Linked DNA regions of Macaca mulatta. The protein of the gene in region 3 interacts with the protein of the main gene of each other region in a pairwise test. Links are inferred from orthologs where the notes say so. Each region holds a gene or a part of one and is shown on either strand. Other genes may lie near its edges.

Region 1 (3,750 bases), on a different chromosome or scaffold from region 3:
TGCACCAAATTCAAGTGTGAAACCAGAGGGCAAGAACTAATGCATGGAGGTAGGCGGGAATGTGCATTGTTCAGTCAAGATATACTTGTTGAATTCTGTACACACTGATGAAGCGATGGCGCTGTTTTTGGTACACAGTTCAAAAGCTTAGTTAAAATGGAAGGGGAGAGAGAACCACAGGTTTTAAAATCAAGGGAAAATTTAGGACCTAGTCTTAAAACGTGATTATGCTGAGAGTTGTAGGCAGTGGAGACAGTGAAGTTAAAGATGTGCCAAGGACCGCTCAAAATGGGGAGCAGGCAGTGGAGAGGGGCAGGGGCATCTGGCCCTAGATAGAAGGAAAACTAGTAAGTCTGGGTGTGGACGTAGATATAATCTATCGGGGTTGGTCAGGTGGTTGGGAAAGCTGTAGAAATCCATGCCTGAAGGCTTCTGCTTCTCTGAAGTAGGAACCGGATCACCTGGTAAGTAATGTGGTCTCACGGACTTCTATTTGCATATTGACCTTTCTTCTAAAAGCAATACATATAACCAGCAGCACTTTTCTAAACCAGTTGACTTTTCTGTAAAATGCAGACAGTAGACGCTACTTTATCAGATTGTTGTGTGCGTTAGTTGTGCCAACACGTGTACTTGGTCAGTAAGTATCTGCTTTATCACTGGGCTGATGTGAGTGAGGACTAGGTGGTGGGACTTCCACAGATGAACGTTTTGATTAATAAAAAACGGACTGAAAGTCTTCGGGTATGACCAACAGCTAAATGCAATTATTTACTCTTGCAATGGGTTCGAGGTCAAACACTCAGGTCACGGAGTATTTATGAACAGCCTACTTTTGCCCCCGGATTTTAAGAAGTCCTGTTCCGGGCTCGACCGCCGACCGGAAAGTCAAATTAGCAGTGCCCAGAGCGCGTTTAGAGCAGCCCCTGCCCAAATCTCAGCGACGGCCCCGCCCCTTCCACGGGTTCAGGCCCCGCCCCTCCCTGCTATTGGCTGTCCCTCCCCCTCCGCTCGACCGCTCGGAAGACCAGGAGGAGCGGAGTTTTCCTAAGGCAGCATCCGAGCGCCCTCGCTGCGCATGCTCGGGGGAGGCGGATTCCGGGTCCGGAGTTGGAGGCTTTGGGCGGCCGCGGTGTAGCGCGCTGTGCCGGGGCCGGCGGGGAGGCGCGCGCTCGGGGCGCGGCGCCGGCGACGCGGCCACGCGGCGCGCTCCCGAGGAAGGGAGGTGTGGGGTCGGCTGGGGGTGGCGCGTGGCCGGGGTGGGGGTGGGGGGAGGGTCGGGTGTCGGCAAGCTCCGCGTGCGGGTTCCGAGTGGCTGCTGGCGGCCTGGGCTGCCGGGGCCGACGCCTGGGTGGCTGCCGCCGCCGCGCCTGCTGCGAGATGGCGATCTTGGGCGCGGAAGGGTGAGGGCGCCCGCCGCAGGAGGAGGTGCCGCTGCCGTGGCCGCCCGGCTGCCGGGAGCCGACAGCTTCGCGCCGGGTAAGGACGGCGCGGCGCGGGGCTGGGGGTGCGGGCGCCCAGGGCGGGAGGGGGCACGGGCCCGGAGCCTTGGTCGCGGTGCTGGGCGCCCGGCGCCGTCCGCCTCCGGGCTGGACCCTCCTAGGGGCCGTCGGGGGACGGTCCGCCCTACCTTGGCTGCCTTCTCCAGCCAGGGAGTCGGGAGTTTTCTAGGGTGGGGTCACGGGTCTTACCCGGAGTTCGTCCTGGCACAGGCCTGTGCCAGTGATCCTGGAGCGGAGCGAAGTGTTTCCGTGACTCTGCAGCTGCAGTTCTTAGGCTTTCTTAGCCTTCTCTTCGCCTTCCTCCACCTTTCCCTAACACCTCCCTCAAAACACAAATATATGGACTCATTGCCCGTGCCCTGACTTTAACCCCAATTTGAGCGTTGCAAACCAAGGACTGCAGCCTTGGAACGTCTTTTTCTGACATGTTTTTATCACTCCCCGTTCTTCACCGACTCTGCAGCTCCCCATCCCCCGCCCCCCCATCGCAACCCCCACCTCCACCTTTTGTGACCTGGTAGGTTCCAGTGACCTTGCAGATTTTACCAGTCCTTATCTTGTCTGTGACTTACAGACTCTCCTTTCATCTTCGTGTCCTTTTTTAAAAAAATTTAATTTTGTAGTTTGCTCCTTACCTTTACGACCTTTAAATGATCAGTCTTGTTCACAGTCCTTTCTTTGCTCTGTCGATTTGGAGTTTTCTTTGCTCTGGTAAATATATGAAACCTTCATTACCAAAGAAGAGTAGTGTCTGTTATAATTTTGACATTTTTACTCTTCCAGAATAAAAATATTTTTCAGGGGCTTGATTTTGCTTTCTTTTTCTATTTGATAAGTTTAACAAAATTTTGTGTGTGTGTAGGTTAATGTAGAACAAGATTTTGTGTTTCTGCTTTAAAATGTTACTAGTAATAGTAATGGGGGAAAAATCATGTCCAAAGTTATATTTATTTTCCCCATTTGGTGTTTTTACCTGAAATACTTGGTTTACAGTTACCTGCATTTTTTTTTTTTTTAAACAAGAGTTCATGTGTAAATCCACTTTACCTGCCTCACCAAATCTGTGTGTATTACGCAAGCAAAATGCACCTTTTAAAAAAGAAAGACATTCTTTTATTGTGTGACTTGTTTTTAGCCATCAAGTAGTAAATTAGCTGCGACTAGAAATGATCATTTTTTATAAATGGTTAGTATGTTAAAAAATGGAAAGTGTAGTGGCCAAGTGTTGGGAGCTACTCAGATTGGGAATTGTAAAGTATTTGGAATAGTTCTTTGGGACATAGCTTATTAACATTTTCAGATAGTTCTTACCTTAAAATGCGAAACTGCTGGTAAGATCTACATCAGGGTTTTGAAAAGCAATAATTATGAGCTACCGGCATAATACAGGATGTCACAGATAAAGTCTCTGCCTTCAAAGAGATGGTAATCTTTGCTGTTTACCCCACGGTGGCTGAAATTTCCTTTACTTCCTTGTACAGTTGTTAAGCATTTACTGCATAATTGTGGGAGGTATTTTGGGGAATACAAAGATGAACCGATTAGCAGTTTCTGCCTTCACACTAATTAGGTAGATAGTGCTATACACAAATGCCCTATTTGTCTTTTAATATATAAGTTTCATAAATGGTACCAAAATCCTCTCAGAAGTAAACTTTAAAGAGTAGAGCTCAGATCTTACTTGGCAAGGTAGAGATAAGAGGGTTAGTTTGTAGAGCTTATGGCTTCTGAAATCATGGTTTGGAAGGACGATTATGACTTTGGATAGGCAGGAAAGGTAATCCAAGCAAAGAGGTATCTCTCTAAGAGAGCACAGAGTCCCTATTTAGGGAGAGGCACGTACTTATGTTTGGATGGAACATAAGCTTATTTGTACCAGGATAAAGGATGGTAAAACTTGAAGGGAAAATTTGAACTAGTTTATGGGTTGTTTTTAATGCCAGGCTTATGACCTTGGATTTACTAGGTGATGGGGCTTCCACAGATGATTTTGAGTTGGGAGTGAAACAATTTGAACACTTTGTTTCAGAAGGATTAGTGGGATAGCGGCCTGTAGTGTGAATTGAGGTAGGGAGAACCTGGAGGTAGAAAGACCTCCCAGTTTTTGTAGTCATGGGTAGTGAGGATCTGAGCTGTGGTGCAGGCGAATGGAAAGGAAGAAAGGAAGTCGAATAGCCAAAATGGATGAGAGGGCAAGTGAAGAAAGTAAAAATAACTGATTCTGATTCAGGTTGGTTGGGAGAACAGT
Region 2 (3,750 bases), on a different chromosome or scaffold from region 3:
ATGCTGACAAGTCTCAAGTCATTCACTTCGTAAAGAGAACTCTTTTCTTGAGTTGATGATGTCCCATCATCAAAATCCAAGCAACCACAGCACAGAGGTCAGTGACCCAATAACTTGGTGGCCAGGAGGGCACAAAGATAATCAGGTATTCTAGCCTGCATGCTTCAGTTTCACAAAACATTCACTTCCAACTTCTAACAGACACACCACCTCTTACTAGAACTTTCCTGACATTAGTTCTCTCCCTGTAATTGGTACTAGCTGGATGACCTTCAAAGTCACACCTGAATTCTCTGGGTTTTTCAGAAAATAAGAGATCTTCTAACTAAGAGATCTTCAAGGACCTTTCAACTTAAAAATTTTGACTATGAAATTTTCAAAGAAACCTTTCCAGCATCAGACTTCTGATGTAATAGTTCTTACTTTTTATTTATTGAGAAGAATAATGGCAGCTAAACCTGCTTTTTTTCTTTTAATAAGGTTTATGAAACCACAGCCTAACCCATGCACCAGGTGGGTACAGGAATATCTCAACTTGCTGGGTAAGTTTCATGCTGAGAACAAAGTGCTGGGAATGTCTATGTTCAAACTTGATCTTCACTCACAACAAAGGCTGCCAGCAGATACCACTGTCCCTATGTCCACAGGAAGAAGGCCTCAAAATAATAGTTGCAAACCACACTAAAGATCAGGTACATCCACGCAGACGCCTAAGAAAGGTGGTTTGAAATGAGTGTCAGTTTCACCCAAAAATGGGCTGAACACACACACAAAAAGGTATATGCAACTGTGCCCACCCCAGCTAATTACAGCCTCTTGTATTAATTTTCAAGAATAAATACACAAGTAATCTCTCGTAAATGTAAACTGCTGCCTGTACAGTGTCTCACTGTTGGGCACCGGAGTTTTATCAATATTGTTAAAACAAAAAGTGCATTAAAATGAAGGGAAATAATACAGGTCTTTCTTCTAAAATAATGGGTTACAAAGTATTTTTAATTTGGTGAGTTTTAAAATCTTCAAAATAATTTACCAGCTCTTTGCTGCTTTTATCTTGCCCAGACGGCAGTAACAATTACGCTTTAAGTATAACATATTTTTTTAAAAAAACTTTTTATTTTGAAAGCTCAAATTTATATAAAATTGAACGAATAGTATAACTATGATTTTTGAAAATTAACAGACTCATTCCAAATTTACGTTTTCAAATTTCATGCTCTTGGGGATTAGGAATATCGTTGCATATATGTAAATGAGACATACTTCTGCTGTATTCCCAAGAGTATCATTACTCTGTTATTTGTGTACTGGTAACAAATTCTAAGTATTTTAATACCATAACAAGGCAGGAAGCGAATGCCATTATAAATATACACGTATCATTCTCTTTCCAGTGTGAGGCAATGTGGTAAGGCAATGGCCAACTGTAAGTCTCAGATCTCTAGTTTAGAAACTGCTGGGGAGAAGTGCACCCTCTTTTATATTTTACAAGTCATACTAGGATACATTCGTATTGAAAGCACTTTCAAACAATAATACAATTTTAATTTAAAATACACACACACGCGCGCGCACATATATATGAATGTTTTGACACCAGCCTCCTGAGTCATTGGGTGCCTAAGATGGGACAGCAAACAAGATACCCCTCAACCAAGTTGGAGAACTTGAGCGGTAAAATTCCTCCCAAAAACCACCATCCAAGCTTGCGAGGGTCCCCCTCGAGTCCGCGGTCAGCGGGGTGCGCCGCGGGTCCCGGGACCGGAGGCCGAGCCGGCAGCAGGGGCCGCGGCGGGCCGGAGCCTCCGGAGCTGACCAGGCCGGCCGCCCCCTCCGAGCCCGGGAGCGTGAGGCCAGCGTCGGACACGCGGCCCTCCGCCCCGAGTCGAGCCGTGGACCGCACCGGACCCACTGCGGGGTCGCTTCCCGGACCACCGGATCGCGGGGCCTCCTCTCGCCCCGACTCCTGTAAAGGGCGGGTCCGGAGCGGGGACTCGTCCGGGAGCACCGGGAGTGTGTGGCGGGGCGCGGAGCCGGTGTCCGCCCGCAAGGGGCCTTCGCCGACCACCGGGCCCCGCCGCCTGGCGTCCCCCCGGCCCAACCCACTCCCCGCCGCCTGCCGTCGAGGTGGCGCCGCCGACCAGGGCGGGCCGCGGGCCCAGCTCACCTTGGGGCCCTCAGAGGGCACGCGCGGGTCGTTCCACGTCGTGGTACGGCTGTTGTGGTCCACGAAAAAGGGCCAGCCGGTCTGCGGGTCGATCTTGATCTCCCAGCCGGGGGGCAGGGGGTCGCGGTCACCGTTGCCGGACGCCACCTGCATCATGGGCGAGTGGGTGGCGGCGCTCATACTGGGTCGGGGTCTGCCCGCCGGGGCGCGGGTGTGGGGCGCGGGCTCCGGGCGCCGAGTCTCTGGCCGGGCCGCCGCCGTGGGCCCCTCTCTGCCGCCGACGTGTCCGGGAAGCCGGCGCCGGGCACCTTTATGAATTAAAGGCGGGGGTGACGTGGCCAGAGAGGGGTGGAAGTGTCTGGAAATAGCCTCCTCGGTGCCAGAGGGGAAGGAGGCGATAAAGGGAGGTAGCAACTGGCCGGCTAGAAACTTCTGGTCCAGTCCAGAGAAGTTGGCCGCGGCCCGGGGTTGGACGCGGAGCTCCGCCCTGAGTCATCCGCTATAATCGCGGCGGGCGGGGCTGAGGGGCCGGGGCGGGGCTGAGGGGTCGGGGCGGGGCCTCTCCCCGCTCGCCCCTCCCCCACCTTCTCCCGCCCCTCCCCCCGCCGTCTCGTGCGCGTGCCCGGGCCGGAGTCGCCGGGGGCGGGCGCGGGCGCGTCTTCGGGGTCCGCCTGCGGGTGGGGCGCCGGAGGAGCGGTACTGGGGGCTTACTCCGTGGCCCCGGGAGGGTTTCGGCTTTCGCACTCGCTCTCTCCCTCTCCTTTGCGCCGACTGAGTGTTCCTGGGGCTGGAGCCCGTGCTCCCCGTGCCTGCCGCCCCTCTTTCCTGTACAAAGCCATCTCGCCCACCCCCACCCCACCCCCACCCCCCAACCCCCCCATATATGATAGCCGGGGACCATGAGGGCTGTCCGGGAGGAGCGCGGGGACGCTCATCTGACACCAGAAGGAAGCCAGGGAGAAAATGGAAGTTAGTGCAAACTCACCTGCCTTCCTTTGGAAACTTCAAGAAAAAAAGAGATTGTGTCAGCTGATGGCTTTTAGTCTCCTAGACTAAAAAGAAACTTTCGTTGCGGTGAACAGCTTTAAAGAAAAATCACATTTTCTTGGATTCGGATCTTTTTTATGGTAGAAGTTGGTTCTTGCTGTCTTACATCTTGACCCTCATTTGGGAAGTAAAGACCGAACCTAACCATGACATTTTTTGTTTGGTTTATTCAATTGCACTTGTAACCTGTCAAAGGAGAAAATTACAACACATTTAAAGATCTTTTCTGTTGTTGTTGTTGCTGATTCTCATTTTTTAACTTTTGTTGTTAAAGTTCTTAATTTTATTTGTGATTCTAGAATTGGGCAACACCTCTATTAAATTAGAATAAGTGCTCCCATGAGCTGAGCAGAAGAGGTTGATTTTATAGACAGAGAAGGGCTGAAGAAAGCAGAAACAAAGAACCAAGACTGGATTGGTTGTTTCAAAATTACTTTCCTTGTAAGGAGGGGACAGCGAGACAGAATCATAGAAAAATAACTGATGAGGGCTTGCCACCATGGCTCATGCCTGTAACCCCAGCACTTCGGAAGGCC
Region 3 (3,133 bases):
AGCACAGTGGCCGGGCAGCCTGGCTTCTGATTCCCAAGACCTGCCTTCACTGTGGGTCTCCTACACCCTACCTGGCAAGTTGAGGACTCCAGCCTCAACGGGAACTTAGCTGTTTTGCACAGCTTAGGGAAATCTTTCTGGAACCCCTTCTCATTCTGCAGACCTGCAGGGGTGAAGACAGCAGCTGCTGGAGCCCTCCATTGTGGAAGGTGCCAGGTTGCCTTCAAGTGGAAGAGTGGAGACACTGACTCTGTCCTCACACATGAGTGTCTTTGGCGAGTGCTTCTGGAAGACTCTTGCTCTCTGTGACATGCATATGGCTGCCTGAGAGGACAGTCTTGAATCCTGGTTTAGAGCTCCCCGTGCCTGCCTTTCTCCAGAGGAAAAGGAGTGCTCCCCTTCTTCCACCTGCTCTCTCGCCCCCTGCTTCTTGTCTTCTTTGAATTTCTAAATTTCTGCTTATCAGGCCTTCATAGACTGATGCCAGTGTTGTGTATGCTGAAGGCTGCTGGCTGGCTTCTGGACACATAATGACCAGATCTGAGTTTTGCTTCACCCACTTCAAAGTGCAGAAGCATTCTGCTGGTCTTTACACCCTTGCTGATGTAGGTAGCCATGGAAATTAGAGCCTGCGATGGATTTCCCAGGCCCTGTGTTGACTTCCAGCATGATGTGTACTTTTTCTGCATCTAAATTTCTCTTTCTGTAATAGCTATAGATCTACCTCATATCCATGGTGTGAGCATCGATAGCACAAGTCAGTACAATGTCCTTGAGGACGTTTGGGACAAAGGTATAGTCAAAGTGATCAGAGCATTACATTCATCTGACAAGTCTTGTCTCTTCAGCCCTTTCCTCTCTTAATTGACTACTTCATCCTTGCTCCTTGGAACATCCTTTCATGGGTCAGCCACATTTTTCCTGCTTGGCCCATCCATGCCCATCTGTTTGTCATACCCCATGAAACTTAACTTCATTATGGTTTGCATTCTGGATTCTCCTCTCCACCATCTGGCTTTACTTTGCAGGTGATGTCACATGGCACGATGACATGTTTTGGGCCATATCCTATTGGAACTGGACATCAGGGAATAACCTTGTGTCATAATTGTTTTCCCCCCTTCTGCAAGATGAAAAGCAGGATGTGCATGGCTATCAGCATTTGTCACATGCTTTCCATGTTGAGTTTTGTGGTCTGTGCTTTCAGGTACGGGCATGTGTTCAAAAGGGGTTGGCCAATGGGTTCGCGTTGTTTGTTTCTGCCCACAGCTGCCCCGGTGCTCAGCTGTGAAGCTGCGACACAGACTGAAAGGAGACTGGATCTGGCTGCGGTGACTCTGAGGAGAGGCTTGAGATCGAGAACTTCGCGATGCAGACCGCGGTCTTTGATAGATTACAAATCCTACCTGGACACCAAGCTGCTGGTGGCAAGGTTCCTGGAGCAGTCCTCCTGTACCATGACCCCAGACATCCATGAACTTGTAGAAAACATTAAATCTGTTTTGAAGTCTGATGAGGAGCACATGGAGGAAGCCATCACAAGTGCCAGTTTCCTAGAACAGGTAGTTCTATTATTAATCTCAGATGTGAATCAGATAACTCATTTTTATAGCAGCTAAAGTGGCTTCTCTGCTTTCCTGCCCAAGGCAGAGTAAATTTATGGTCACAGTCTTCAGGGAAATGGGGTTGGGAGGTCAGGGGAGGGAGAGAGAGAGAGGAAGCCATGGAGCTTTCAAGTGTGGTAACTTTCCCACGTCATTCTTGGCTCAAGGGAAGAGAACCCAGTTTTCCTGGGATGTGGAAGCATGTCTGCAAAAAGAAAAGAGTGCATGCCAGGAATAGAAGCGGAGGATATGGACAATGGGGAGTGCATTCAACATTTGATTTCCTGAATTGAAGGTTTCCTTTGATAAGGCATGTTTTCTCAGCCCTTTGAAAATGATGACATAGGTGAATTTTAATATTGACAAGATTCTAAGAGGCTGTTCACATTCCCATGAAATGTTTGGCAAGATAAGCCAACAGGTCCTGAGGGAATAAACACCTTTCTTCTTATAGATTAAAAAATACAAGGCAATCCCCAAAACTGAAGCCACTTGGAGAAAAGATAGAATTGGGCATGAACATAATCCAGTTGGGTCTCAGGTTTCTCCTCTTTAAAGTAAAGGGTTGGACTAGGTAGTCTCTATATCTCTATTTCTGAATGGATGGTGTTTCCTTCTGGAAGGAGCCTTCTCTCCACCTTTTTAAAAAGCCATTCCCTTTTAGGTGTTGGCTTCATTGCTGCAGGTAGTGGGGTAGATGTTGTAGACAGCACCCCACAATGACGTATGGATGTTATGCGACTCTGTGTCTTTGTGCATTAAATGTCCAACAAATACTTCTTCAATTGAAGTGGGCTAATTTCTCAGGGTAATTACCAACTTCAGGATGTAGGTAAATTTTTAATTCAGATTGAGTAAATACCCTTCTCACTTTCCCTTCTGTTCCCCCTTTCTACCTGCTGGCCTCTTCTTACAGAAGCCAGAAGCCAAACTCTCTCCCAGTCCCTCAGGGGATTCAGGGAGAGGAATGATCTGATTCCTTGCATGAAGAGATACACGAACCACAGACCGTCTTGCGTTTGCACTCTAAAAGAGTGATCAGTTACGATTCCGGGTCAGGCTCTAGTTACTAACCTGTGTGGGGGAAACATTTTACATCCTCGTGTCCCTTAGCTACTCCAGATGTCATTCTCTGTCACCTTCCCTCTCTGTGGCCCCAAGAGCCCAATAAACAGGAGCTGCTTCTGGAAGGCTGCCAAGCTCTGTCGAGCTAAGAGCTGGAGCATTCACCAGGCAGTGGGCCTGGACCTTCTGCAAAGTCTTGCTCCCTGGGAAATAACTCTGGGGAAAAAGAACAAGCACTTATACAGTTCACTAGATGCTATCATCACAAATGGTTGCTAGATCTTTGTGCCCCAGGCAGTTTAAAAGTTCAGGTGCTGAGATTGTTGTGATAGATTTTGGGTCATCTGCAGGGCCTTCCAGGACTGGACCCTAGAGGTGAGGTTTCACAATTCCATACCTTTTCCCAGGCAGAAGGAGGTAAGGACAGCAGAAGGAGACCGGTTATTTCTGACTGTAGCTGGCTT

What was found. The genes of interacting proteins can lie anywhere in the genome.
Region 1: the proteins of ENTREP1 (region 3) and WWP1 interact in binary tests that used the Homo sapiens proteins (3 or more experiments, as listed by UniProt). The link is inferred for Macaca mulatta from reciprocal best matches to the Homo sapiens genes ENTREP1 and WWP1.
Region 2: the proteins of ENTREP1 (region 3) and BAG3 interact in a two-hybrid assay, tested with the Homo sapiens proteins (2 studies listed by BioGRID and IntAct). The link is inferred for Macaca mulatta from reciprocal best matches to the Homo sapiens genes ENTREP1 and BAG3.

Annotation. Positions count from the first base shown.
Region 1 is NC_133413.1:96,820,628-96,824,377, forward strand, and holds the start of WWP1 (NEDD4-like E3 ubiquitin-protein ligase WWP1), read left to right. Parts: upstream 1-1,286; 5' UTR 1,287-1,479; intron 1,480-3,750. UniProt on the Homo sapiens protein: E3 ubiquitin-protein ligase which accepts ubiquitin from an E2 ubiquitin-conjugating enzyme in the form of a thioester and then directly transfers the ubiquitin to targeted substrates.
Region 2 is NC_133414.1:131,748,335-131,752,084, reverse strand, and holds the start of BAG3 (BAG family molecular chaperone regulator 3), read right to left. Parts: upstream 2,644-3,750; 5' UTR 2,348-2,643; coding exon 2,168-2,347; intron 1-2,167. UniProt on the Homo sapiens protein: Co-chaperone and adapter protein that connects different classes of molecular chaperones including heat shock proteins 70 (HSP70s), e.g. HSPA1A/HSP70 or HSPA8/HSC70, and small heat shock proteins (sHSPs), e.g. HSPB8.
Region 3 is NC_133420.1:100,430,140-100,433,272, forward strand, and holds part of ENTREP1 (endosomal transmembrane epsin interactor 1), read left to right. Parts: intron 1-1,269; coding exon 1,270-1,562; intron 1,563-3,133. UniProt on the Homo sapiens protein: Functions as an activator of the E3 ubiquitin protein ligase ITCH in the ubiquitination of the CXCL12-activated CXCR4 receptor. Thereby, triggers CXCR4 endocytosis and desensitization, negatively regulating the CXCL12/CXCR4 signaling pathway.